Linked DNA regions of Elephas maximus indicus. The protein of the gene in region 3 interacts with the protein of the main gene of each other region in a biochemical or structural test. Links are inferred from orthologs where the notes say so. Each region holds a gene or a part of one and is shown on either strand. Other genes may lie near its edges. The genes, in order: CRK, ITK, ERBB2 and SH2D2A.

Region 1 (6,863 bases), about 27 Mb from region 3:
AAGGCATTTGTGTGAGCAGCAGAATTTCGTAAAGAATGGAGGGCAGTGAGAGGGCTTTATATTGCAGTGAAGCAAACAGCTCAAAATTGAGTATTTTGCATCTTCATTCTCAAAAGTCTTGCGGTCATGTTGCCACTGGGAACATCTTGCTGATATTTCTGGAAGATCCAGCCTCCCGCCTGTGTTCCCAGCCCCCTCTCTTCCCCAAGACCCTCCTTGAGTTCCCTCACATTTCTCCCCAGAGCTTTCCCCCAGTGTCTGTCTCCAGGCCCTACCTTTCCACGCTTTAAGACTGCTGCTTGTCTCTGCAGAACTAAGGCCTACCCATGTGGGGTGGGGTTGGTGGTAGGGGTGGGAGTGGGAGGGACATCACAGACAAGCATGCACTTTGAAAGGTGATACTGTTGTTTTTTGCTTTAAATAGCAATTTTTGTCATCTTGATACAAATAAACTTGTTCTGCTTTTTTTTTTTTTTTAAAAAAAAAGGAAAGTGAATATTAGTAACCCAACTACAGAAGCTTCATGTACACAGTATCTTGGAGTTGTGCATTGCACACAACCTGCCCAGCTATGGTCACTTTAGGGGACACAGAGCAGGCAGGCAAGCAGGCTGTTGACCCCTGCTGTACCTCCATTGCTAAAATAAGGAGGTTTAGGGGGTAGAGCGTGGAGTGGAGGACTTTGGTGTCTTTTCCTCTTGGACTGGGCAGCCTTCCCTTTCTTTCCCCCTGTATATCTCCTTCAGGTAACTCCTTGCCTCACCTCCCCAGGCCCCACACACAGAGCCTTTCCTAAGCAAGGAGGTCTCTTTCTTTGTAGGACAAGTCTCAAAGCTTATCAGGAGGCAAAAACCTAAATATAGCTGTAAATCTTTAATTATGAAGGGGAGAGGAGGAGGAGGAGAGGAGAAAGGAGGGAGGGGGCAGGGTGGCTTGCTCACTTCTTTCACTAATGACTTTGTTTTCCCCCAAGGCCACTCCTGTTCCTACATTCCTGCCCTCTGCCCTCCCAGGAAGGACCCACTTGAGTGGCTTCCTGGGCTGGATCTCTCCTTCTTGCCTACCCCCCCTTTGTTTGTTTTCCAGCTCATTTATGATTTCTTTCCTTTTTAAAAAATATTTAAGTCATTTCCATGTGCCCTGCGGGTGGGGGAGGCATGGCTTCAGACTCTCATAGGCAGTCTCTGAGTCAGGGCCTGTCCCTCAGTGCCAGCATTCTTGTAGAAATGAAGAGCAGGTGCTTCTTCTCAAAGGGTCAGAATCAGGCTCGAGTGGCTTCTGCTGCTGGCACATGGTGACGAAGTGTGACTAAGCCGGGGTTACAGTGAGTCACACACAGCTGGGAAGGTGTCCCCTCCCCATGCTACCCAGAGTGGGCCCAGGGGTGTGTGACGTGGACCTGGAAGAGCTGTGTTATTCACATGAGCCATAACCCAGGGCTGACTGATTTTTTCAAAATACAGATTTGCCCCCCTCCCCAGGCCCCCACCCAGTTTCCTATCCCAGAGGTCTGAGGATATAGCAGAGTGATCAATAGCTCTGGTTGTCCTCCAATTTGAATCCCAGCTCCTCACTCAGCAGCTGTGTGACTTTGAACAAGTCACTTAACCTCTCTGAGTTTTAGTCTTCTCATCTGTAAAATGAGGCTAGTTGTACAATACCTACCTATAAAGTGGCTGCAAGTATTAAATGTCATGATCCATTTAAAGTCATTTAGTACCATGCCTGGTAGGTAGTAAGCCTTGAATAAACGTTTAGCTGTTATTAGGAAAAAGGAGCCCTGATGGCATGGTGGTTAAGTGCTCAGCTGCTAACCAAAAAAGTTCGGCGGTTTGAACCACCATCTGCCCCACAGGAGGAAGATGTAGCAGTCTGCTTCTGTAAAGATTACAGCCTTGGAAACCCTACGGGGCAGTTCTACTCTGTCCTATATGGTCACTATGAGTTGGAATCAACTCTACGGCAACAGGTTTGGATTTTGGTGGGTTATTATGAAATGTTTAGGAGTGTCTCCTAACTAGATGCTGGGCCTTTGAGAAGCTCTAGCATGGGGTACAGACAGAGCTGTAAGTGAAAAATTACAGTACGATGGTACAAAAGCTGTAAGGAGACAATATGGACACAAAGCTGTCAGGGCAGAGAGGGAGTGATGGGTTGATCAGAAAAGGGGAGACGTTTGAGTTTGAGGTTCCATAAGGGGTGAAAGGGCATTACTGGGACAGGGGGTTCACACAGGAGCAGTTAAGATGAGGCTGTGGCCCAGCTTTATGCTGTGAGTGAAGCTGGCAGTTTTAACATTTGAAGACTGTTAAAGGTTTCACGCGGAGTAGCAAGACTCAGACGGACGTTTTAGAAAGGTCACCCTTGGCAGCAGTGTGGGGGGCAATTAAGAGCACAAAGACTGAAGCCTACCAGCAAGGAGGCTCTTAACAGTAATACAGAAGCGAAGTGATCCTGACAGTGGCGGTGAGAGGGGAAGACACACACGGGCACAATTTAGGGTTAGAGGAATCTGGGCCGATAACTTGAAAGCCTCAATAGTGAGAACACCATACTTCTGCCTGGCTTGCCACACCACACTCTGTTCCCTTTGACTTCAGTGCCCTTCCCCACTTGCCATTCAACATTCTGCTCAAGCCTCCCTCCCCAAACTGAATTAGGGAGCCTGTTCTGTGTTCCTAGAGCCCCAGGCTTGTTCCCCATCCTAGCATTTGGCACTCCATTGTCATTCTTTCCTGGCTCCTCCCACTGGTCTGCGAATTCGGTGAGGGTTGGGCTCAGCCTCGGTCACCTTTGCACCCACCTGGCAAGTGTGCTGTTCGCTAAATGAATCAATGAAAACAAGAACTTAGCCAGCAGAAAAGGCCCGACGTCTCAGGGAACCTTGCTGAGAGCTCAGGTCGTGGGCTCACATCTACCTTTTTTTGTTTTTAATTTTTATTGTGCTTTAAGTGAAAGTTTACAAATCAAGTCAGTCTCTCACACAAAAGCTTATATACACCTTGCTACATACTCCTATGAGTCGGAATCGATTCGATGGCAACGTTTTTTTTTTTTTTTTTAACATACTCCCAAGTGCTCTCCCCCTAATGAGACAGCCCGCTCTCTCCCTCCACTCTCTCTTTTTCATGTCCATTTTGTCGGCTTCTACCCTCCTCTTACCCTCTCATCTCCCCTTCAGACAGGAGATGCCAACAGTCTCAAGTGTCCACCTGATCCAAGAAGCTCACTCCTCACCAGCATCCCTCTCCAACCCATTGTCCAGTCCAATCCATGTCTGAAGAATTGGCTTGGGGAATGGTTCCTGTCCTGGGGCAACAGAAGGTCCTTCTAGTCTCAGTCAGACCATTAAGTCTGGTCTTTTTATGAAAATTTGGGATCTGCATCCCACTGCTCTTCTGCTCCCTCAGGGGTTCTCTGTTGTGGTCCCTGTCAGAGTAGTCATCGGTTGTAGCCGGGCACCATCTAGCTCTTCCGGTCTCCGGCTGGTGTAGTCTCTGGTTTATCACATCCACCTTTTATAACCCCAATTCTGTTTCGGAGTCACTGCCTAGAAGTCCTGGGCCATCCAGTAACTTGAAGCCTAATGGAGCGAAGAACCGCGTAGCCAACAGCACAAAAACAAACCTCTGGGGACCGCTGGCTGGGGCCCCGCCCCTTCGGCCCTAGACTCCACCTCTCCATCTTCTGCAGTTCGGGTCCGAGCCCGGCGGCGACGCCCATGAGGCCGCATGCGCAATGCATGCGCAATGCGTGCGAGAGGTCTCTCTTGCCCTTCTCCCAATGGCGGCCGGCGGGCCCCTTCCCGGCAGCCTCTCTGAGGCTGGGAGCGCGTCATTTCCGGTGGGGAAGGCCCGCGGCCGCCGCCGCCATTTCGGGCGCTGCTGTGAGACTGAGACCGGAGCCGGTCCGCTCGGCGGCGGGCGCCGGGGCTGGAGGGGTGCGCGCGCGGCGGCCGCGGCCCAGCGTGTAGGCGCGGAGGCGGCCATGGCAGGCAACTTCGACTCGGAGGAGCGGAGTAGTTGGTACTGGGGGCGGTTGAGCCGGCAGGAGGCGGTGGCGCTGTTGCAGGGCCAGCGGCACGGGGTGTTCCTGGTGCGGGACTCGAGCACCAGCCCCGGGGACTATGTACTGAGCGTCTCCGAGAACTCGCGCGTCTCCCACTACATCATCAACAGCAGCGGCCCGCGCCCCCCGGTGCCGCCGTCGCCCGCCCAGCCTCCGCCCGGTGAGGGACACACGGGACGGGAGGCCCCGGGCGGGGGTGAGGGCCGCGGAACTCTCCAGCCTGGCCGGCTGCTTCTCGTGAGCTGGCCCCCACGAGGGTCGTGGACAGAGGGCTGAAGCGACAGGGGCAGTGGGCAGCCTACTGCTGGAGCTAGTTCTCAACGGAGAGCGGGAGTGTGTGGGGGAGGAGGAGCGGCTGACCGAGGCCTCTGGGTGTGACTTGGGAGGACGGCCCAGGGGAAGGGGAACTGCTTCGGCCCCAGGGTGGGGCTAGTGCCCGGGCCAGTGTGCAAGGGCAGGGCGGGACAACGTGGGGACAAAGAGCTGAGGGGGATGTTGGCACTGCGGGGGCATCACTTGGCAGCGGTACCCAGAATGAATTCGATAATCCTACAAGTGGCTTTTAGGCTAGAAACACTTCCTGCTGTGTTGGAGAGCCAGGTTTGGCCATACTCCCCTGGTGGCCTTTGGTAGGAAGTCACCCCATACCGGTCAAGAGGGATGGAGACACCCTCAGGAAACCGGTCAGCTTTTTCCTTTCTTGGGCATTTTTCCAAAAGTCTTTTACCGTCCTCTTCTCCTGTGGAGGACGAAGGTGATTAGCTAAGTGCCTTGGTGATTGAAGAAAGCCCTCTGAGACCAGCCCAGAACAAGTTAATGCTTGGCTGACTGTATCCAAGAAATCTTAGTGGCCAAAAGACTGTCCTTCTCTGCAAGCAATGCATAGGGGAGAAAGAGTTTTTCAGAAAATAAACCAGAAATAAGCCAATGGAAACAACCTCTTCCCTAAAAGTGAATGGATTTCATTTTTCCTTGAGCTTAAACATTGTTAGTCTTGTACTTCAGGGCCCCTTCTTGCTCAGTAAGTTGGGGCTGTAGCCTGAGTCTTCATGGAAATTGGGAACAAACCTGGCTGGATCAGATTTTCTGAGTGTTTAACTACACTGGTCTTCCTTACCAATGATCACTGAGATTTAGTCATGTCATTGAAGTTGTTTGAGGAGTGTTAATGGAATTTATGCATTTAGTATTTGAGAGTTGTGAGGTACAGAGTAATTCTGCGGTTAGCATTATCTGTGTAAGAGGACCAAGAGTCCTGATGCCTTCTCACTGTTCCCAAGTTGAAGTAGTTATCCTCCTGACCAACTGAGATTAGATCCAGGCCAGTCTTATATGAATTAGGAGGTTCCAGAGCCAGCCTTTGCAGGCCGGCTCTTTTACAATAGGCCTAATTTAGACTGACAGTCTGGCCAGAAAGGGGGAGACAGGATAGGCAATCTCTTTGTTATTAACACATAGCAAGTTAGAAAATGAGTATGAGGTCTTTAAGTCCATAAATTTTCCTAGATCTTTCTCAGTCTAATTGATTTAATATAATTAAGCATGAGATGCGAGTATTGATGTACCATCATTTGCCCTAAACTAGATTGGAAGCCCTAGGGGCAGCATTACTGCCTTACAGGGTCGCTATGAGTCAGAATCCACCTGATGGCAACGGTTTTGGTTTTGCTTTTAGGTGTATTCTGCTTTGATGCTGCCTGCATGGTATCTAAGGTTTGGTATCACATACAGTAACGTGGAGGCAAACTCATTGAAGTTCAGTTCTTAACATTTTGTTTGTGTGTACGTTTTGTTGGTTACAAAATTTGGAAATGGCAGCAGGTTGCTTTTTTAGTTTGAAATTTCTCCATACCTTGGCATTATGGTTTTATTTCCCAATGCTTACCTTGGTATGGAGCTCCACCTTTTCAAAACAGATAAGAGTTTAGATCCTTGGCCCAGGAGAGAAGGTGAAGATTGCCAGAGTTTGTGGATGGGGTGTGGAAAGTTCATGGGCATTGTGGTAATGCCTGTTTCTGCAATGCACTCCATATTCTATGCAGGGTAATTGATTCAGTTGCTGTCTTTATAAAGATTACTTCATCTCTGTTGTCCTCCTCTCCATTGAGCTGTATTTCTTTTGAAACCATACAGAAGAATTTCTTGAGTTTTAGAGAGGCATATACAAAATTAATGTTGTTGTTAGGTGCTTTTGAGCCGATTCTGACTCATAGTGAACCTATGTACGACAGAATGAAACACTGCCTGGTCTTGTACCATCCTTATACTCATTGCTGTTTGAGCCCATTATTGCAGCCACTGTGTCAATCCATCTCGTTGAGGGGCTTTCTCTTTTTCATTGACTCTCTTCTGTACCAAGCATGATGTCCTTCTCTAGGGACTAGTCCCTCCCGATAACATGTCCACAGTACGTGAGACAAAGTCTTTGCATCCTCCCTTCTAAGGAGCATTCTGGCTGTACTTCTTCCAAGACAGATTGTTCTTCTGGCAGTCCATGGTATATTCAGGGTTCTTTGCCAACACCACTGTTCAAAGGCATCAGTTCTTCAGTCTTCCATATTCAGAGGTTTTGCATGCATATGCCCCAAAAACCCTGTGAGGCAATTGAAAATACCATGGCTTGGATCAGGCACACCTTAGTCCTCAAAGTGAGATCTTTTCCTTTTAACACTTGAAGGAGGTTTTTTGCAACAGATTTGCCCAATGCAATAATAGGTTATTGGATTTTTTGACTGCTGCTTCCATGGGCTTTGATTGTGGATTCAAGTAAAATGAAATTAATAGCTAACATTTAT
Region 2 (7,683 bases), on a different chromosome or scaffold from region 3:
CCTTCTGGTTTCCACTCTCATATTGCAAACAAATGTCCTTATTGTGGTATAATTAATGTCATGTTTTCTCCATGTTTGTACTTTTTGTCGGTGATTTCTCTGTTTAAAATGGCCCCGAAGGGTAGTGCTAAAGTGCTATCTAGTGTTCCTAAGCGCAAGAAGACTGTGATGTACCCTATGGAGAAACCATATGCTGTTATAAAAAAAAAAAAAACTGTTATAGGTGGTCACTAATTCCGTGTTCACAGTAATTTCATAGAACAGAGTTACCGTGAATAACAAGGATTGCTTGTACTTTATATATTAAGTTGAGCTATATAAAATTGCCTATATCTAACCATTTCTATCTATGAAATGGTACTTTCAAATAGTTCAGCCTAAGTACATTCTCTCTCTTCAACTTTATCATTTTATCATGACGTGGGTACTCTCATCACACCCATTTACAGATCAGAAGACTGAGGCTTTAATTTCAAAATAAAAAGTTCCTTCTCATAAATATTACGTTATTGCTTTTTCTGGGGAATGCACAGTGCACTTCTTTGTGCAAATCGGTGGCCCTAAACAATGGGAGATAATTAGGACATGAATCTGTAATAACTCATTTATCTTAACTTTCTCAGTGACCTTGGAGAAATTTCTAACCAATAAATTTCTATACTATTTAAAGAAATGCTTTTAAAATAGTTATTTAGGTATATAAACTGTAGGCATTAGAAAACAAAAAACTTGATTTTTGTTTTCATGTATTTTCTATATCCTATACGGAAACTTTAGGGATTTTAGCCCAGGGCTCGCCCATGCACAGAATGAATTATGCTGTAACTTTTCATAATGCTCAAATGAAGCACAGTGATTTCACAACATCGTCTAAAGAAAAATTATAACCAACAAAATTCTGAATCAAGACCACTCGGCTTGTGATTATTTACGAATACTACTGCACTGAACTCTCTGCTTAGGAACTGTTATCAGTATCAGGACTAACAAGTGAGATGGTGCTATGTGGAGTCAGGAAAAAAAAAAATTGGCAAAAACTGTAACGTGGACTTTGAAAAGAGAATATTTAAAGGCCGGTGATAACTCTTTCAATATGGAACAAGAACCTTAGATGTCCCACTCACAATAAGAAAAATATTGACTGATGCCATGTGATTTATCAGCTCTGTATGTTGACTCTCTGAAGTTCAAAACTTGGCTACTGGCCCTATGTTCCTTTAGTCAACAAATATTTATTGAGCACCTATCAAAGGGGCCTTCTACATAATCAGTAATCACCATATGTTTTCTGACTGACCGGTATTGTTATCAGTTAGAGTCTGCTGAATTGCTTCTCGTTTTGTGAAAAGGAGATGAGCAAGTCTTATCCCCTCTTAAAAAAAAAGAAAAAAAAAAAAAAAGGCAGTATTATTTCACCTACTGCATAAAAGGGTCAATCACCCACAGGCTGCATATAACTGTCCAGCCTTATTCAGGACTCCATTCACTGAATGCTTCAAAGCCTGACTCTCAAAAGACCCCATCCTCCTGCCTGCACTTACTAAGTCAGATCCCAACAAGGACTCAGAGCAGCTTTGTCCACACCTGACCATTAAGCACCTAATGTTATTTCTCCTTCAGTAAAATAAAGGTGACAACCCCTTTCCTACCACCCTAATAATGGAAAAAGTACAGTGATATAGTAAGAAATCAAACATGTATTGATGAATTGCTCAGAAGTACTAAACAAGTGCCTCTTCATTGAATAAAAGAAATTTTTAAAGAAGGAAGGGACCTTTCTTTTTAAAGAAAGAAAGAACAAGAGACTCTTGCTCAGGCTCAATCATCCAGTGAGAAGTGGTTTGGTCTCCAGATCACTTGCCCAGTGCTTTTTCTACCAAACTACATTGTTATGATTATTCATGTTGCTCCTGTAATTGCTGACGTTTCAGAATGTGAGAGTATCTTCAGATATACAAAAAGATTGACTTAGCTAAGCAGCGATTACCTTATGGATAAGAGCCGCTGGTCCTCACCACAGGTCACTTTTTGCTTGGTAATACTAGTTTCCTGGGAAGTTTTCCAAGGGCTTAAGGGGTTTACCATTGTGCCATGCAAATTTTGGGCAACACCGTATTCAATTAAATGCTCAGGGAATATTATTCCAAGATGTCAGGCGACTGGTGACCGTTGACACAAATGGGTTGAATTAAAGAAAATACTGATTTTATCTACCACAGTTTGAATTCTGGCTCCACCACCTGACTAGCTGTCAAATCCGTGGGCAAATTACTCAAGGGCTCTGAGCCTCTGGACCCATCATGTAACCATTCCTGGTACCAGTTGCCTTCACTGTAAAATAAGGAAACTGGGCAATATCATCTGTCAGCTTCCATCAGATGTTAATATTTTATTAAGCAATGTCCCATAACACGTAGCATATTTCAAATGAAGTTCAAGTTATATCTAATCAAAACATTTGCTATGTATAATATTATCATAATTTTAAAATTAAGCTTAACCCTTGCGGGAAAAAGAAGCTGATGGCTATTCAACTCACAGCTCTATGATTTTTAGAACTGAAACCACCATGTACAGCTACCTCACCTCTTGACAAGCATGTCTGTGTCCCCCGTTTTCTATTTTATTCCATATAAATCACCCCAGTACAAATATAAAATACTATTCAAAGAAAGACAAAACAAAGTGCTCACATACCCCATGGCGGTCCTCAAAGTATGCCAGGCTGGTTTTGGTTAAAACAAAGAAGCGAACTTTAAAGTTCGAGGGAGAAGTTCTTCTCTTCTGTTGGGATTTCTTGATGAGCTGTTCTTCCAGGAGGATAAAGTTGTTCATGATCCAATTCTTGAAAAGTGATGTGCCTTGGGCATCACCCCTTAGCACAACCAGAGGAAAGAGCTTCTGGGCAAGGAATGCGACGGGGAGGCCGTTGATCTTCAGAGAGTTGTTCAAAGGCAACTTGCCTCCAACGTTATCTTTCTATCAAGGTTCAGTCAGCATTGCAGAGCTTCCCCCTGATGTCAAAGACTAAAACCACATCCTTTCAAAATTCACAAAAGAGGTATATGTGAAAAAAAAAAATTACACCCTTTGCTACATGGTTTGGAAATGGTATTTGAAGAACCTTAGACTCAAATGATATTAAGGACTAGAATTTAATCTTTAGTCCATCTAACAGCACAAGGGGTAGGAATATGGGCTCTGGAATCAATTAGGCCTACCCAAGTTGACATACATTTTTGAGGAACACAATTCAATCCATAACACTAGTCATATATCTTGCCTTATGGTTAGTATGTAAGTTGAAACATAGTATGTGAACCCTACTTCCAGCAAGAAGTAAAGAACCAAGAAATCTTAGTGTAAGCAGAGATGGTATGTACTGGACAGGGATAAATAATAAAACAGAAGACTCATTACTGCCATATAGGAGTTCAAATCTCTAAATTTTATTTTTAAAAATATAAATTACTAGACTAGAGCCTAATTTTGTATCATATATTGAATGCCCCGGCATAATCAAAACACTCTGGGAGAAGTTAAGGAGGAGAGTATTGTAAATGATGCCCCTAACCTTGTTCTAAGATTTTAGGATATTATATGTGGAAATACATTGTCCAATAGAGGTTGTATTTTGTTTGTTTTTTCTGGTACAAGAATTGCTATTTCTCCCAAACATGTGCTCTCTCCTTCTTCCTGCGTAACTGATTCTGACATCTGGCTAGCCAGAATAAAGACAACATTTCCCAGCCTCCCTTGTAGTTTGTGTAGTCATGTGATTGTGCTCTGGCCAATGGGACACAGTGGAAGTGGTGAGCATGACATCCAGGAAATGTCCCTTAGTGGGAGACTTTGCACCCTTTTCCCTCCTTTCTGCTGACCAGATTGTGGATGTGATGGCTGGATCTGGAGCAGGTATCTTGCAGCATGAGGTGGAAATTGCATGCAATAGAGCACAAGATTGAAACACCCTAAGGTCCTCATGACCATGGACCCTCCATGCAAGGCCCGGATAGCCTTTTTTAGCTTAAACAAAAATAACTTCTAATTTTTAAGCTTCTGTTATTTTGAAGTTTCTGTCACTAGCAGCAAAACTCATTCTAACTAATACAGTGCTACCTTCCCCAACTAAACTATAAACTCCTTTGGGGAGGGTAGATTTATTCCTGGTTGTTTCAGATTAAAAGATTTACAGACATCATACAAGTGTTCTCATCTGAAAAAGCAAAATATTGTCAGTAGCTGTGGTAATAGTTGGGAGTTTTTCATTTGCCAAGCCTCCGTAAAATACAATCAAGAATTCATCTTATCCTCTCTCTTATAGTATCTTCGAACTCACTCAGAGAAGTTAGGTTTTGCTCGCTCAAATGAATAATTTCTTTGATAAGGATCAGCACAAAGCTAGTTCCTATAAGGCAGAGGTTTAAGATGTCCCAGATGTCCAGCTTTTCCAAGCTGCTGTACCACTCCATCATCTCTAACATCAACCACTCCCTCTCCCCTCAGCACTCCCCCTCCTGCCACCATAAAGCCATTCCAGCATGACTTCCATGAGCGGCACACCAGGCGCTTCCTCTGGAGTGTTCCATTGGGTATTTAGAGGGGGAGGGGGCAGTTTCTTTTCTCGGAATAAACAAATCTCACTGCAAATTTTATCCAGTCCATCAGGCTGGCTGTCTCCTCTGGGGTAACCTGCTGTGTAAATGCATCTAGTATCGCCATTTGTGAATGTTCCATAGTAAGTTGTGGCTCTTGTATCAACCCAAACACATTCTTCCATTCTGCAGCATTCAAAACTAAAGACATTGCTCCTAAATGAGCCACTTTCCCAATTCATTTAGTAATGCCGATCTACAAATTGAAGCAACTCCTTTACACTATACCCTCTTAGTTTTGTCCGTTTCCTCACAGACTACCTTCCTGATGAATAATGGTCATAGAAGAACTGTTGTTCCAATCTGATTTTTCCTTCCTTGGTTGGCCCTGAGACTAGCGGTCTTAGCTCTGACTGAACTGAATCTGGGCTTGGTTCAATGCTAAAATCAGGCCCTACATTCTTTTTCCCTGCCATTATAGCTATTACTGATAACAGAACCAAGGAATCTTATGTTTGGCCCTTCCTTTGTCGTTGTTAGGTGCCGTTGAATCAGTTCCAACTCATAGCAACTTTCTGTACTATAGAATAAAACACTGCTTGGTCCTGCACCATCCTCACAATCCTTTTTGTGCTTGAGCCCATTGTCGCAGCCACTGTGTCAGTCCATCTTGTTGAGGGTGTTCCTCTTTTTCCCTGACGCTCTACTTTACCAAGTATGATGTCCTTCTCCAGAGACTGATCCCTTCTGATAACATGTTCAAAGTATGTAAGATGTAGTCTCACCATCTTTGTTTCTAAGAAGCATTCTGGTTGTGCTTCTTCACAGACAGATTTGTTCATTCTTTTGGCAGTCCATGGTATATTCAATATTCTTCAGCAACACCACAATTCAAAGGCATCAATTCTTTGGTCTTCCTTATTCATTGTCCAGCTTTCACATGCATATGATGTGATTGAAAATACCATGGCTTGGGTCAGGCGCACCTTAGTCATCAGGGTGACATCTTTGCTTTTCAACACTTTAAAGAGGTGCTTTGCAGCAGATTTGCTCAACGCAATGCGCCTTTTGATTTCTTGATTGCTTCTACCGTGGTGCTGATTGTGGGTCCAAGTAAAATGAAATCCTTGACAACTCCAATCTTATCTCTGTTTATCATGATGTTGCTTGTTGGTCCAGTTGTGAGGATTTTTGTTTTCTTTATGTTGAGATGTAGTCCATAGTGAAGGCTGTGGTCTTTGATCTTCATCAGTAATTGCTTCAAGTCTTCTTCATTTTCAGCAAGCAAGGCTGTGCCATCTGCATATCACAAGTTGTTAATGAGTTTTCCTCCAGTCCTGTTGCCCCTTTCTTCCTCGTACAGTCTAGCTTCTCAGATTATCTGCTCAGCATATAGATTAAATAGGTATGGTGAAAGGATACAACCCTGATGCACACATTTCCTGACTTTAAACCATGCAGTATCCCCTTGTTCTGTCCAAACAACTGCCTATTGATCTATGTACAGGTTTTTTACAAGCACAATTAAGTGTTCTGGAATTCCCATTCTTCACGATGTTATCCATAATTTGTTATGATCCACACAGTCGAATGCCTTTGCATAGTCAATAAAACACAGATAAACATCTTTCTGGTATTCTGTGCTTTCAGCCAGGATCCATGTGACATCAGCAATGATGTCCCTGGTTGCACGTCCTCTTCTGAATCTGGCCTGAATTTCTGGCAGTTCCCTGTCGATATACTGCTGCAGCTGTTTTTGAATGATCATCAACAAAATTTTACTTGCCTGTGATATTAATGATATTGTTTGATAATTTCCACATTCGGTTGGGTCACCTTTCTTGGGAATAAGCATAAATATGGATCTCTTCTAGTCAGCTGGCCAGGTAGCTGTCTTCCAAATTTCTTGGCATAGATGAGTGAGCACTTTCAGCACTGCATCCATTTGTTGAAACATCTTAATTGATATTCCATCAGTTCCTGAAGCCTTGTTTTTCACCAATGCCTTCAGTGGAGCTTGGACCTCTTCCTTCAGTACTGTTGGTTCCTGATCGTATGCTACCTCTTGAAATGGTTGAACGTCAACCAATTCTTTTTGGTATAGTGACTCTGTGTATTCCTTCCATCTTCTTATCACTCTGCATTTCCATATGCATCCAAATAACCAGTTCCTCAAGAGTTAGATTCACCCTTCCTAAATCCCATGACTAGCTTTTGCCTTGGGTAACTGATTACAACATACTTAAATCCACCGGTGTTTTTTCATTCCATCCCTAAACCAAAAGTTTCTCATTCTTCCGTTTTTCATCTTCTCTCTGCTCTGGAATTGGCTCTTTTTTAAGGCAAAACCAACCAATCCCCCTAGTGGGCCACAATTATCTTATTTGCACATCCCTGCCCAATCACCTGGGTGGGAGTTATAAGACCATGCCAAGAAAGACCATACTAAATAATTTATCACACTGCACCACTCCTAAATGAAACCTTGTTGTTGTGTGCCTTTGAGTTGATTTCGACTCATACTGACCCTATAGGACACAGTAGAACTGTCCCATAGGATTTCCTAGGCTGAAATCTTTATGGGAGCAGATTGTCAGGTCTCTTCTCCCACGGACTGGCTGGTGGGTTCGAACCGACGACCTTTCAGTTAGCAGCTGAGTGCTTAACCATTGCACTACCAAACTCAAACCTAACCCATTGCTGTCGAGTTGATTCCGACTCATAGTGACCCTATTGGACAGGGTAGAACTGTCCCATAGGATTTTCAAGGCTGTAATTTTATAGAAGCAGACTGCGGCATCTTTCTTCTGCAGATCAGCTGATGGGTTTGAACCACCAAACTTTTGCTTAGCAGCTGAGTGCTTAGCCACTGTACCACCAGGGTTTCTTCATTGCAGCACCAGGGCTCCTTAAATATACCAAAAAATCAAAACCAAACCCAGTGCCATTGAGTCGATTTCAACTCATAGCGACCCTATAGGACAGGGTAGAACTGCCCTGTAGAGTTTCCAAGGAGCGCCTGGTGGATTTGAACTGTCAACCTTTTGGTTAGCAGCCATAGCGTTTAACTATTACGCCACCAGGGTTT
Region 3 (7,222 bases):
TTTCTGCACTGGTCCCTCATGCTTCCACTCCATGTCTCCCTCTGCCCATAGCCATGCGTGTCCCAGTGGCCTCTGCTCCCATCCTGCCCTCAGTCCCCTGCCATGCTGGGAGGGCCCGAGAGGAAGGCAGGCATGAGCTAGACAGGGAGAGAGAGGACTCTCAGGCCAGGAGGGTCCCCACTGGGTTGGGGAAGACAGCTCTACTTTCTATAACCTAGTTAAATGAATGGAAAAGTCATTCACCTAAAAATCTGAGTAGTGTTTCTATCCCTTCTGGGCACATGTTTGCCCCTAAACTGGGGCTTTGCTCAACCCATTCCTGTTGAATGGAATTAAGACTTTGACTAACTCTTGAGGTCTCCTTAGAGGAGTCAAAATGCCTTGGACATTACTGGCTAGCTGGGGAGTCTTGGATAAGTCGCTTCACTTCTCTGAACTTCAGTTTTCTCACCTGTGCACCTACTTCACGGGATTGTTGCAAAGATTAAATGAAACTGTGCGTAAGAACTCGGAACGTAGGAAGTTGAGGCAAGAGACATTAATACAGCAGAAATATGGGAAATCTCAAACCAAGAGAACATGACTTTGGAATGTAGAATTTGTTCTCTTTTTACACGTGAGCCTATCTTTTCCATTTTTTTCCCCTTGAATATTAAAATAAGGTTACTTTTCCTAAATCCTCAAGTATAGTAAAAGGAGAAAGCTATTGGGAGAATCATACTGGGAGTAAATATGAGCTCTGCATGATAAAAAGAACGAGTTTGCTGCAATTTACAAAACGTTGACCTCTAAGAAAGGGTCTCAGTAAAATCCTGACCCTCTGGGTCTTCCCCCACATCCCCCTCCCCCCACATTCCTGCCCCTGCCCTGAGCCCTGACATATAACAGGAGTGTTGGAGGCAGCTGGGTGGTGTGCTGTTTTAACCACTCCCTGCACAACACACCCAGCTTCTCTCTCTGTACCCAGCAATGCAGGATGAGGGCTGAGGAAGCCCTGGTGAACAGCAGTCCCACCACCCTTCACAACCCAGCTCTGAAGCAGCCCAGTCCCTCCTGCGTGACAGCCCAGCCTAGCCTCACCCTTCTCATCAGAGCACCAGGGGCAAGGACGCCCGCCTAGGAAACAGGGAGGGGAAGGATTGGCTCCCTAGGAAAGGGGAGCCTCCTTCCTCAGAGAGAAGGCGTGGGGCCACCTCCGCTGTTTACGGCCGATCTGGCCCGGCACCTTGAGTTCCTTCAGAGGGCAGAGTTCAGCCAAGTGCCCAAGTCAGCAGGGAGATTGCTGTTTGGCAACACAAAGCCCAGACACACACCAGACCACACAACTCAACAACACCCTGCCAGACACGCAGCCTCAGACACGCACGCTGACACTCTCAGCACAGCAGTACGCTGACCCTCTGGCAACGCTCAGGCACTATGACACCACCACCCCTTGGCTCCGTGGCCTATGGGGACCACCCACTACTTTCGGAACACTCATTTGGTTTTCCCCACAACTCCGGCAAGCAGGGTGCAGTGTTTCCCTTGTTCAAGGCAGATTAATACGGTGATTTCACATGTGTAGTTAGAGATGGGACTGCCTGGGGTCCAACCTGAGCCCGCCATCACTGGTTGTTACTTAAACCTCATTAATGCCAGGTCTTCACCTGGAAAATAGTAATACTAGTGGGACTTCCCTTATAGGGTCCTGAGGATTAAAGGAAGGAATGAATGCATGGAAAATGCCATACCTAGTGCTTAGCACCCAGTATGCGTCCGGTATACCTTGACTTTCAGCATTATTGCCTACAGAGGAAGATAGATGCCCCTCTCAGGACACACACTGCCCCCATCTCCCTTTCCCACACAGCATGAAGGAAAAGGCAGCTCCACAGCCCAGCCTTCTGCATTCCCCAACCTGGCCCCATTTCTTACCACCGGGTCCAGACTGTTCTGGAAACCCTTCCTTGAAACTCTCCTCCTTTATGCCCCAGAACCCGAAGCCCGCCACCACCACTCCACCATCCCCTGTGTTCTTCGAGAGTCATAAAACACCCAGTCCCCAAGCTGGCCCTAAAGAAACTTGTTCAAAACAACCCTCTCGCCCTCCCCACAAGCCCAGACCCCAGTATGAGGCAACTCTGCAGCCAGACCCGCCGCCCTCTCCTCCCGGCTCTGGCTGAACAGGTTGCTGTCCCCACCTCCCCCCTCCACACACCGACCCTGCCTGGAGCTGGAGTAACCAAATCCTAGTTACTGAAGGGGGCGGAGAGGGACAGGGCGGAGGGGACCCCCCAAAGGAATCCAGTCCAGTCCAGTCTGGGGGCGGAGGCTGCCAACTGGAAAAGCTTTGAGAAAGCTTGAGAGGGCTCAAGAGGGGGGAAACACACATGCTCTTCACCGCGCAATCTGCCCTTTCATGGAAACTTTCTAAATAATTTCCGAGAACTTTTGACAAGTTCTCGGAGCCAGTCTCTTGAATGGAACTTCTAGAGCTGCTTCGGTAACTGCCCCCTGGCCCATCTTCTTTTGCCCCCTCCCTGCCCGAGTGCCCAGCTGCTCGGAGCGGCCGACTGTCCCCAAGCTCGGGTCCGGAGAGCTCGCGGGCCCTTCTGCCCCGCCCGCCGGTCCCCGCTTTCTGCGGCTACCCAGGCTGCAGGGTCTCCGTCGCTGTTCCATGCCCTCCCCACCCCAGACCTACCTTGGGTGCCCGCAGCTCCGGGGGGCAGGAGGGCGAAGAGGAGCCCCCAGCGGCACCAGGCCGCCAGTTTCATGGTGTTCACTGTGGCTCCGGCCCCATGGCTCCGGCTGGACCAGGCTGCGAGGGTGCCGGGCGCGGCGAGGCGAAGGGTGGGCGCTGGGCGCCGGGCTGGCACCCTGGGAGGGGCGGGCGGTGGCCTTGGGGTGCTTCTCGTCCCTCCTGCTACGATCGAGGGGAGTTTCAGCTCCACAACTTCATTCTGTACTTCCTCAAGGCAGCCGTTCTCCTCCTCCTCCTCCTCGTCCTCCTGTGATTGGGAGCAAGCGCGCTCGCAGCTCGCCCCCCCACCCCCTCCGACTGCATTCCAGCAAGTCTCGGGGAGTGGCCCGGCTTCACTTTCTCCCTCTCTCCGCGCAGGCCTGTGAGCGTCTCTCCCAGGGCTGGGACGCCTGGGTTCCCTGTAGCAGTTCTCAAACGCTTCCTTGGAGAACCCCTAAAAGCAGTGACTCTCCCCGCTCGGCGAGTCTGGGGCAACTTCTTTAGGGGCCGCCTGCCATCCTTAACACTTTTAAGTCGCCCGTTTTATCTTAAACATTCCTGACGAGTTTGCGCCCTACACATCACAGGGCTGTTTGTTTTAATATCAAATAATGGTTTTCCCACTACATCCTCAAGTAAAATTGACAGTCAAGGAGGGGAGTGTGTTGTATTTAACTTGTGGCTTCCGGGACTCCCTGGGATACCTTTTCAAATCTTTTGGGTATCTTCCCCAGCCTGAAAAGCATGGTCCTAAGGGGGTCCACCAATGGGGGTGGGGGAGAGACGTTCAAATTGGTGGGACCACCTCCCCATCCTTGGAAGAACATCCCTTTTGTTTCTTTATGGGGGCATCCAGCACCTAATTCATTCAAGGTTTCTTCTCTGCCCCTTGCAGTTTACTATTTCATTCATTTCCGTCTCCCCACCCTGCATTCCACCAGGAGCCCCTGACCCTGTTCCTCAGGCCCTGTGGTGTGGGGGTGGGGTGGGGATGAGGATAGAAGGAAGGCATGTTTTTGCTGGAAATTCCAACAGAAGAATGCACAGGACACACTTATACTAACAAATTATTCGTTGTTTACCTGAATTAAAAATTTAACTGGGTATCCTTATTTTTATTTGCTAAATCTGACAAATCTAATTGGAATGCCCCAGCCAAGAGCAAAGCCTGTGCTGGTCAAGAGAGGGTCAGAGGCACCTACCAGGGGGTAGAGAATGAAAGACAGTAGCATTTCTTAAACTGCTCCCATGTGCCAGGCACCTTTATAAGCAGACACTTCTACAGGAGGAGGTGGAGGTAGGGGGTGGTGACAGCATCAGGGGCTCTGGAATCAGAAATGACCTGAGTTCAAATCTCTCCACTCTGCCACATATCAGCTATGTGATCTTGGGCAAGAGACTGAGTCTATCTGGGTCTCAGTCTTCTCATCTGTGAAATAGGGTCTGTAATAGCATCTGGCATGTTGTGCTAGTGGTTAAATGAAATAATGTTCCTGAAGCACTTAGCACCATACTTGGCACACAGTAATTGCTCAATAAATAGTCCCAACTGTGGTTATACTGGAGCCCTGGTGGCACAGTAAGAACTCAGGCTGCTAACTAAGAGGTCGGAAGTTCAAAACCACCAGCCACTCCTTGGAAACCCTATGGGGCAGTTCTAATTTGTCCTATAGGGAAGCTATGAGTCAGAATCAACTGGACAGCAACGGGTTTTGGTAGTTATACTGGGGCAGATACAGGTTTTGTGGGGGCCTGAAGCTTATAAGTTTTGGGACACCCTCTTTAAGAAAGGGAATACCATATCAGTTGCCACAGAGTTGTTTCTAACTCATAGCGACCCTATAGGACAGAGTAGAACTGCCCCCATAGGCTTTCCAAGGCTGTAAATCTTTACGGAAGCAGACTGCCACATCTTTCTGGTGGGTTCAAACCATTGACCTTTCGGTTAGTAGCCAAGTGCTTTAACCACTGTGCCACTAGGGCTCCAAGAAAAGGAATACAGGAAACCTCCAAGAAAAAAAACAGGATCCATTAGATGGTTGTGAAACCAATTGAGACTATCATATCAAGATTAGTTTTTTTTTTTTTTTTTTTATAACTAAAACAGAATAGAAAATATAAGAGCATCACACGTAGTAAGGGTAGGTGCCCTTTTGTGTGTGTCCCAGATGGTGATATAAAATGGATTTATTCCTTGGATGATAGTAACAGATGTTCAAGAAACCTTGCTGTGCACGGGGATACAGCAGCCCTTCAAGATGGTCATCCAAATTCTTATTTTCTCTGGAGTTAGGGTTAAGGAAACTAAGGCTCTAAGGAGTTAACTATTTGTTCAGGAGTGTCTTAGGGCTAACTGGGGAAAAGTGGAACAATCAGCAAAACCAGCCTCTCACCTCCACCCCATCATACAGCCCAGAGGCTAGTCAGTGTGCCTCTCAGCCTCGCAGCCTCTCAGTCCTTTAGGGAGGAGCTGCTGACTTGGCTCCAAGAGTCATTTGCTGATCCCATATCAAGGGCTTGCACCTGGGTGAGAGCACATATGGCATCCAGAACCCATCAGGTTGTTAGGGTCAAGGTTGGGGCCAGAGTTAGAGGTGTCCCTTCTCCCCCAGAGTAAAGAAGGGCTCATCCAGTCAGGAAAGCTGTGACTCTCTGTACTAGAGCCACAGTCCTCGTGTCACTGAATCCTTGAGGCACCAGAGGAGACTGGTATGATCAGTTCCCTTTTACAAAAGAGAAACCCCAGGATTCCTCGAGGTGAAGAAACTTGTCCAAGGTCACAAGCAGAGCTGGGAGGTGAACTTCATCTGTAGAACCACGGTGGCTTTGGCTTGGACTGTCAGCTTCAAGAGCCCTGAATGGTGGGTTCCCTGAACCCACCTTCTCCCCAGGCCCCTGCACGGGAGCTAGAGGAGACCCCTCTGAGAAGAGAAGCCTGGGTAACTACCAGCCCTTCCCTCCGCAAAGATCCTGCCTCCCCCTCCACAGCAAGCCCATCCTCTCGGCATCCCGGGTCCCAGGGAGACAAAGCTCTGTCCTAGTGGGCTGCAGAGAAAGGCCGGAGCCAGGGAGTGGGGGCAGGAGAGGGGATGGGGGAGGAGCTGGGGTCAGAACTCACGCCCCGGGGAGGAGGCTCGAGAGGGGCCCAATCTCTCAAAGAGAATGAGCCTATTCAGAGCCGGGAAGGAAGGGGAAAAAACCTTGTCTGCTGCTTGACAAGAGGAGAGGAAGGGGGGCAGGGGTGGGCGCTGCTGATTCGATTCTCCCCTCACTGTCCCTCCAGCAGGGCCTGGCAGGAGAGCCAAGGAAAGAGGATGTATGAGGGACAAAGAACGAGAGGGGGAGTTTCAGGGGGGAAGAGAGGGCTGAGGAGCAGGGGCGGGATTGTTGGAGGAGCATGAGAGTCCAGGAGAAAGGCTTAGTGAGGGGCCTAGGGAGAGGGAGGCTGGGGTACAGAGGAATGGTGACCATGGGACAGAGGGGAGCAAACTGAGAGCCGGGGGGCAGATGCATGAGCTCTTTGAGTGATAGGTACTAGATCCATGGGCAGCAGACGTGACCATTGCCACTGAAGAGGCAAGACAGGGCTCTGCCTCACAAAGGTGACCTCCAAGGGTCAACAGGTCGGGGTCTGGAACAAGCGGCCTGTGAAATGCCAGTCAATCATTGACTGGTCACTGAAACTGGGGAGCACATGAAGCTGTGTGTTTGTGAGTGTGTTTGTCTGTGTTGGCACCGGAGTCTCCTCCCCTTTGCCTACCTCACCAGCCAGCCTGGGGTCAGAGAACTGAAAACAAACAGAAGAAGGGAGGGTACGGTCCACAGTCCGAGGTCCAGGCCACAAATTGGGGCCTGCCCCACAGAACCTCCGGCCTGGGGCATGGATTCCTGGGCAAGTGTTTGTGTGAATCAGTTACTTAGAAAGAGTCCCCTGAGAGTACACACAAGGCCTCCCTGGGGCCACAGAAGAATAACTTAGAAGCTTCTGATAAGAAAATCCAGCCTTAAAAAAAAAAAAAAGAAAATCCATCCTTACTATAGGTGGCCATGTATGAATACTTGTAGCCTAATCGTGTGGGAGGCCTGGGCCCAGGGTTAGAGAAAAGGCAGAGCCCAAACTTGCCAGACCCACTGGCCCTGGTCATGCTGTTTGCCTCCCTCAGCCCCTCTCACCCACATCTCTCTCGGGAATGCAGGCCCAAGGACCCTTTCTGTCCTCAGGGTGCTTTTCAGAAAAAGCCCTCTCTGTCCTCCGCCTCACCTCGCTTTAATGCATATACATGAAGGAATGAGTGACTTCTATCCTGGCCTGTGCATACAAAGTTGTCATGGTGCTAATTTCTGTGTGTCAGTGTCTGTGTGTGTTCTCATTTAACATGTGCTCTTAGTTTATCTGTGGGTCTCTCTTCTAACAGTAGCTTAGCTGTGTGGCCTTGGATAAGGCCTCACTTTGCTGACTGAAATATGAGTTGGACTGGATGGTTCCAGGTCACAGGGTTT
Region 4 (7,389 bases), on a different chromosome or scaffold from region 3:
CCGTCTGCAGCACGAAGCACCGCCCCCCGGCGCGGGGCCCCGCCCCTCACCTGTAAGTCAGCACAAAGGTCACGGCGCTCTCGCTGAACCGCACCAAGAAGCATCCCTGAGGCTTGGTCTCCAGCAGTCTCTCGGCCTCCCTGTGGGTAGCGGAGAGAAGAGGCAGAACCCTGCTATGACCCTCCGGGCCTCGTCCCGTGTCCCCGGAGCTCCTGGGGGCCCATCCCCCAACCTAGTGTGCTGAAGTGGCTAGAAAAGGGCCAGGGTGGAGATGGGGAAGGAGGATGCGAGCACTGTGCTTCCCCTGCAGGGACTGGCGGTGGGCAGGGGCAGGGTCCCACTCAGGACACGGGAGGCCAGGTGGCCTACCGCGCTGCAGGTCTGCTCACCCTCATCCTGAAAGTGCAGCCTGAAAGGGCTAAGGCTGCAGCAACAGGAATGGTAGTTAGACTTCTGGATATCAGAAGTCCCAAACTGAACTGAGGAGGTGAAGCAAGAGATACAAGGGCTATGAGGCTGAGAAATAGAGGAAGAGGGAAAAGGTGGGGAGACGGGGAAGAAAGAGGAGAGAGCTGCAAGGAGCCGGAGACAAAGATGGAGTCAATGGAGAAAGAGATAGAGAGATGGAAAATATGGTGGCACAGTGGTTAAGAGCTACGGCTGCTAACCAAAAGGTCAGCAGTTCGAATCCACCAGCCGCTCCTTGGAAACCCTACGGGGCAGTTCTACTCTACCCTATAGGATCCCTATGTGTCAAAATCGACCCAAGAGCAACCCAGTTATGGAGACCTTAAAGACAGGAGGATAATGGAGCCTGAGAGGGAAAACCAAGGCACAGAGGCAGCTGGACTGGATTCTCTCTAATTATCTCCCCTGGGAGAGATGCCTAGGAATTGGGAGATGGGAGTCATAGTCTCAGTCTGCCCTGACTGGCAAGGGACCCCTGCCCCTCTCTGGGCCTGTTTCCTCCTCTCTGACTCACTTTCGGGTAATGAAGCCATGGAACCAGGCAGGGGCTGCCCCGTGCTGCAGGAGCCAATGTGCCTGGGTCTTCTGGAACCAAGCCCGGGTCTCGGCCTGCAGGGTCAGGCCTCCTTCCCCAGGCACCTCCTCAGCCTTTCCAGCACCCTCTGGATTGGAAGCAGTCCCCCGGGCCTGGACAGACACCTGCTAGGGGAAAAGTCCAAGGAGGGAGAAGCAGCCACGATTAGCAGGCTTTCCTCTAACGCCAAACCAGCCACCACCTTCTCACCCCTATACCCAGCCCCTCCTGTGCATGGGGAGGAAGCTCCCCCCACCAGACCAATGGCCTGTTTTAGGATGTATTTGCCCAGAAAGCCCTTCCCAAGATCTCACTTAAATCCTGTCTTCAGCTCTAGCTGTTTTGGTTTCCAGGGAATGTCCTTCCACTTCCTTTTGGGGCACAAGGGCCTTTCATCCAATAGCAGTGAGCTGTTAAAATGTGCTTCGATGGGGATGAAACAGGTACCAAGGGCTTCCAGACAGACTGGAGGTCGTTGCCTGGCCCGAGGGATGAAGGGAGATGGTGCAAGACACCCCAGAGGCGGGGATGAGGGAGTGCTCCCCGACAGTAGGGGGAATTGAAGCTGAGTCCAAAGGAAGATTCCCTAATGACTAAGGGGTAAGGGGAGTCTCAGGGTGGCGCAGATGTTTATTGAACTCAGCTGCTAACTGAAAGGTTACAAGTTCAAGTCCACCCAGAGGCACCTCAGAAAGAAAAGTCTGGTGATTTACTTAGGAAAAAGCAGCCATTGAAACCCTATGGAGTACAATTTCTACTCTGACGTGTGGTTGCTAGGAGTCAGCATTGACTCCATGGCAACTGGTCTGGGAGGGTGAGGAGAATTGAGATGGAGACCTGGGATGCAAAGGGCAAATGAAGGCCGTGGACATAGACTCCCAGGTGACTGCTTATTGGGCACCTGCTAGGGGGAGAGTCCAAATGTACTGTTACCTGTTAACCTGTGGACTCAGCCTGAGCTTCCCAGGGCCAGAGGAGCAGTGTGTGGGCCAGGGGGCAATTCGGCAATGAAGGGGCCTCTCCCTTTCTTCTTCACCTCCCTCGGCTCCCCTAGCCCCGTCATCCACAGCTCCAGATGGCTCCTGCTCTGTCTTCCCATTGCCCATCTGCAAGCCCTCATCTGTGGGAGGGTGGGAGCAGATGGGGAGGGCTGCATTCCCTCAAGTTCCCACTCACCGGAACCTCAATAGCCAAAGCCCTGGGGCTGAGCTGGGCCTCCTCAGCCTCCAGGGCCTGGGATCTGGGCCTCGGGAGCAGGTCCAGGTCCTGGCAGCTCCTGCGGGTCAAGTCCATGGGCAGAAAGGTGCTGAAGGTTGGGCTGGGGGCTTGGCGACTCCCTGTCAGCATAGAGAGGACTGCTGGGGTTTCTCACTCCTCTCCCCAGGCTCAGAGGACCCTGCATGCCTCTGGCAAGGGACCAGGGGAAAGATTTCTCAGCGATGAGGAGTAAGGAGTCAAGGAGATCCTGAAGGGCTGACGCAGTTAGAGGGTGCTTGTCAGGGGAAGGAAGGTCTGGGAACTAAGCTGGCCTTCCGATGGCCCAGAAGTTCCACCATAAGGGACGCAGATTTCTCCTGGCCCAGGGTCCTCCATCTCGCATTCCCCTTTCTCCTCCCAGCTCCCTCCTCTCTAAGAAGCACTCAGCAAACCCCCATCACCTTTGTCCTCAGGGATGAGTGAACATGGAGCCCCAGAGGGAGGAGGAATCATGGGTGCCCTGATAGTCAGCCTTGCCATCTTTGGCTTGGGGTGGGAGCCCTCACCCCTGAAATGGGAGCTCGAGCCCAGGAGAGACAGCAGGGGTGATGAGGGAAGTCCTAATGTCTCCTGCCCCCCACATTCTTACACTTTCCACTTACCTTGGGGACATATCTGAGCCAAGGGGAACTCCATGGGGGCAGCCTTAGAAGGAGCCCCCGGAACAGGGTGTATGTCTGTGTTCTGGAAAGGTGTGCACACTCAGCAACTCATCTTTCCCCTCACCCTGGCCCCAAGGGGCAGGAAGTGTCGCCTCACCCACAGCCTTAGCCCCAGCAGAGGACCCACGTCATGGAAAGCCATAAGACAGTTGTCCCTCCCCCCGGAAGCCAGGCAGTTGAAGGTGGTGGTGGTGGCACGTATTGGTGTCACTCTGTGTTTGGGTGTTGGGAAGTTCTTACTACTATCTGACCTTGATCTCTCCTGATTCTTTCTCTACTCCCTCACCCCAGGCTGGGACCTCCCTATCTCTGTCCCTCTGGGCTTCTGCTTTCTTACTGGTAAATCCCCTAGTGGTATGTTCTGAGCAGTGGGAATGGGGATGTCAACCTCAGAAGGATCAGATCTATGAGGTGCCTGGGGCTCCTCAAGTTTCACAGTCAGGATTGTGCTCTGAGTGCACATGAGGAGGGGCAGGACAGGGCTGTGATAGGAAGGTAATGGGCCAGACTTCTGGAAGAACTTTTTGAGATCTTACAAAAACTGCAGGGGTGGAGGGTAGGGAGATGGGGACCTGGCTTCCATCCTTGAGCAGATAATGGAGCTGGGTGAGGGCAAAACCAGGCAACTCTGGAGAAAAGGAAGGAGAATTCCCTCTAAGTTGGAAAAAATAAATAAATAACCCATTGCCATGGAGTCGATTCTGACTCACAATGACCCTATAGGACAGGAACTGCCCAATAGGGTTTCCAAGGCCATAATCTTTACGGAAGCAGACTGCCACATCTTTCTCCCGCAGAGAGGCTGGTGGGTTCAAAGTGCTGACCTTTCAGTTGACAGCTAAGTGCTTAACCACTGCACAACCAGGGCTTACTGCCAACTAAGCAGGTTGTAATTAATACAACACTGTTAGTCGTCGTTGTTAATAACATCAACAACTCTGATGTCTTAAAGTTGCAGTGTGCTTTATACGCACTCCACACACCAGAGGACCCATCCTATTTCCCTCTCACTTGATCCTCACACACTAAGAAGAAGAAAGGAAACATGATCTCCATTTTCCAGAAGGGTAAACTGAGGCTAAGAGAAGTTTGGTGCCTTGGCCAGGGTCTTTCAGTGTCTCAGGAGTTGGTGGCAGAGCTGGGACTAGAAACTAGAGCTCCTTTCACTACTGTCACCATGATTTAGGCCAACAGTCCATGACTATGTGCCAGGCACTGTTTGTGGGGCCAAGAACTCAGAGAGAAAAAGAACCTTGTTCCTGCCCTCGGGATGTCAAGTGGAGGAGACAGACTTTCCGGCAAATACTTTTTAAAGATGGTGGTGGGGTAATGGTATGGGCTGGTGCTATGGGAGCTGTAGTGTGGTAGCAATAGTGTTGGCCCTCGTCTGACTTCAGAGGGGAATCAGCATCAGTCCAAAGCCGACTCCTATGAGATGGAGGTCAGACATACCTCCACTCTCCAAACTTTTTACCAATTCTGACACCAGCCGCCTACCCCATGGCACTCTCTACTTCTCTGCCGGGTGCTATAATTTGTTACATACAACAGCCACACAGAACTCATAGACCATACTCACGGTTGTGTGGTTTATTAGGGAAGTAACATGTGATCGAGATCAGCAGGCTACAAGTTGGGATCAAGATTAGGAAGCATGTAGGCAAAATCTCCCTTCTTCAGTGCAGGACAGCTCCCTTAGCTCCCCTTGGCCGCGGAAGCAAGTAGGCACTTCCCTCCGCAGTGCAAGTCCTCTCCCAGCTCTGCAGGCCTCTTCTCAGGGCCCTCAGGATAAGCCTCCCCTTGCCCCCTGCCCTGCTCTGAAAGTGCTCCAGCTCTTGCAGCCCTGAAGGCAGCTGCCCGGAGTCACCCCACTCCACCAGCAAGCCCGCTGCCCGAAGGCGCTCAGCTCCCTAGCTCCATGGGCCAGGAAGCCCACCATGCCATCTTGTAGCAGCCTCCTGGTTCTGGTGCCGCCACTCCAGTGTTACAGCTCTGTCTGTTCCCTGGGTCTAGGAGGTTGTCAGTGCAGGGACCCCGGGTCCAAAGGACACATTCTGCTCCAGGCTCTTCTTCTTGATGGTGGTGAGACACCCCTCAACCTCTGTGAGATGGCCGCTTATATAGGCAAGTGGTTCAATCCTATTGGGCATATTTTATGTACCCTATTTGCATAACTGACCAATCCCCTCACTGGACTAAACTGGCCAATCACCCCTGCAAGTGGCTGCATCTATTTGCATAAAAAGTGGCATTTTCTTCTGTCAGAGACTGGCTTCTTCCCAGGGGGAAAGTAATAGGCTTCTCCAAAGGACTAGGGCAGCTGTAACAACTCCTCATGGCCTTGGGGAAATATCTCCCAAGCTGTTTTCTTTTTCTCTTTTTCACAGGAAGAAACTCATTTCATCATAGAAGCCGACCCTGAAGACCCCTAATTCAGCCTGGTGTGTGTGCGTGGAGGGGCTGGGATGTGGGAAGAGGAGCCTGAGCTGAGTTGTGGAGGATGAGTAGGGTGGGGAAAGCCTTCTTAGATAAGGGACAGCATGTGCAAATGCACGGAAGGATGAAATGGCAGAGTGTGGGGGGCAGCTGCAGGGGACAGTGTGAGTAGAGAACAAGAGGGGATATTTTTTTTTTGAGAAACTGCCAGCAGTAGGTTATGCAGCTGGAGGGGTCAGGGCCAATCACATGTCACCAGGAAGGCGTTTGGACTCTGGACTCTCCACCTGGGCTCTGTCTTATGGGGGCAGCTGCTTGCTCCCCATCTCTGTGCAGGAGGACGCTTTTCCCACCAGTCTCTGCTGGTCCTGCCATGCCCACACCCCAAGGCCTTACCTCCCCCAAAGCTGCCTGCTCCCCTTCCCTTCCTTAAAAACACTTGCCTTAGCCTTGGTCCCATCCAAGGAGTTGGAAATGAGACTGTGAGGACTGACAGGTGCCTGAAAGGTCTTCATCCCTAAACTCCTCATTTTATTGAATTGAAGACTGAGGCCCGGAAAGTCACTTGTCCCAGGTCCATGGTTAAGTTAGAGGTGGAGTTGGACCACCTGACCATCAATATTGTAACCAATTTATTGAGTAGTCTCAAAATCTCAAAACAAAAACCAAAAAACCAAACCAGTTGCTGTCAAGTCGATTCTGACTCATAGTGATCCTACAGGGCAGAGTAGAACTGCCCCATAGTGTTTCCAAAGGGCACCTGGTGGATTTGAACTGCCGACCTTTTGGTTAGCAGCATAGCTCTTGACCACTGAGGATTTCCAGTCTCAACACAGTGGGATTCAAATCTCACATGGCTTTATTTTTCTGCAGTCACTACCTTCAATGAGGCTTGCCCTCTTTCTTACCCGGTAACAACATCTCGAGCAGATACTATAATTTTCACTCACTTTCAGGCAGTAAGAGTTCAGATCGATCCACTTTAAAATTTCAACATCCTATCGTGTCTCTGACTTAAATGACTTTTCCTTCCTCTCTTCTCCTACTCTGTTCCCCTGGCAGGTAGCTGAGGGGGTTGGAGTGGGGAAGGGGTGTGATCTGCTCCCCTTGATCCCCCCAACCCTCTGGGGCTGGGGGCAGGACTGAGAGGGGAGACTGAGTATTGCTGTATTGGTTATCTATTGCCGTGTAACAGATTGCCACAAATTTAGTGGTTTAAAACACACATATATTATTTCACAGTTTTTGTGGGCGAAGAGCCCAGACATGAATCTCACAAAGCTGAAATCAGTGACAACCTGGATGTGTTCTCATTTGGAGGCTCAACTGGGGAAAAAATCACTTCCAAGCTCACTAAAGTTGTTGGGAGAATGTATTTCCTTCTGGTTGTAGAATTGAGGGTCCTGGCTTCTTGTGTGCTGTTGGTTGGAGGTTGCCCTCAGCTCCCAACCACCTGGGCCTCCTAACATAGCTGCTTACTTCTTCAAGGCCAGCTAGGCAGAGAGCCTCTGGCCAAACACGTGTTGTAATCTTGTGTCTTAGTTACCTAGTGCTGTTGTAACAGAAATACCACAAGTGGGTAACTTTAAAGAACAATTCTGTAGGCTAGAAGTTCGAATTCAGGGTGTAGTTCTGGTCTATTCCAGCTTCTAGCAGCTGTCAGCCATCCTTGGAGGTCCTGGCCTTGTAGACACTTCTACCTCCATCATCTGTCTCCCTCTCCCCACTGTGTCTGCCTGTCTTTGTGTTTATCCTGCTCTTTTTATAATTCAGAAGTGATTAGGTTTAGGATCTATCCTACACTGGTATAACCAATTGACTTCATTATGGAAGGTGATTACCTTAGATTAGATTATATTCACAGGTACAGGAATTAGGATTTCAACACGTATTTTGGGGGACACTATTCCATCCATAACATGATGTGGTCACAAACACATAATTCTGTACTCTTTTGCCATATTCCTTCGGATAGAAGTAAGGCACAGGTCC

The links.
Region 1: the proteins of ERBB2 (region 3) and CRK form a complex in vitro, tested with the Homo sapiens proteins (2 studies listed by BioGRID and IntAct, with this or other methods). The link is inferred for Elephas maximus indicus from reciprocal best matches to the Homo sapiens genes ERBB2 and CRK.
Region 2: the proteins of ERBB2 (region 3) and ITK form a complex in vitro, tested with the Homo sapiens proteins (2 studies listed by BioGRID and IntAct, with this or other methods). The link is inferred for Elephas maximus indicus from reciprocal best matches to the Homo sapiens genes ERBB2 and ITK.
Region 4: the proteins of ERBB2 (region 3) and SH2D2A form a complex in vitro, tested with the Homo sapiens proteins (2 studies listed by BioGRID and IntAct, with this or other methods). The link is inferred for Elephas maximus indicus from reciprocal best matches to the Homo sapiens genes ERBB2 and SH2D2A.

The regions. Positions count from the first base shown.
Region 1 is NC_064837.1:20,224,233-20,231,095, forward strand, and holds the start of CRK (adapter molecule crk), read left to right. Parts: upstream 1-3,851; 5' UTR 3,852-3,987; coding exon 3,988-4,228; intron 4,229-6,863. UniProt on the Homo sapiens protein: Involved in cell branching and adhesion mediated by BCAR1-CRK-RAPGEF1 signaling and activation of RAP1.
Region 2 is NC_064820.1:173,658,686-173,666,368, reverse strand, and holds the start of ITK (tyrosine-protein kinase ITK/TSK), read right to left. Parts: upstream 3,007-7,683; 5' UTR 2,836-3,006; coding exon 2,698-2,835; intron 1-2,697. UniProt on the Homo sapiens protein: Tyrosine kinase that plays an essential role in regulation of the adaptive immune response. Regulates the development, function and differentiation of conventional T-cells and nonconventional NKT-cells.
Region 3 is NC_064837.1:46,996,092-47,003,313, reverse strand, and holds the start of ERBB2 (receptor tyrosine-protein kinase erbB-2), read right to left. Parts: upstream 3,018-7,222; 5' UTR 2,757-3,017; coding exon 2,684-2,756; intron 1-2,683. UniProt on the Homo sapiens protein: Protein tyrosine kinase that is part of several cell surface receptor complexes, but that apparently needs a coreceptor for ligand binding. Essential component of a neuregulin-receptor complex, although neuregulins do not interact with it alone.
Region 4 is NC_064821.1:194,555,387-194,562,775, forward strand, and holds the start of SH2D2A (SH2 domain-containing protein 2A), read right to left. Parts: upstream 3,022-7,389; 5' UTR 2,936-3,021; coding exon 2,902-2,935; intron 2,380-2,901; coding exon 2,219-2,379; intron 1,168-2,218; coding exon 983-1,167; intron 141-982; coding exon 51-140; intron 1-50. UniProt on the Homo sapiens protein: Could be a T-cell-specific adapter protein involved in the control of T-cell activation. May play a role in the CD4-p56-LCK-dependent signal transduction pathway. Could also play an important role in normal and pathological angiogenesis.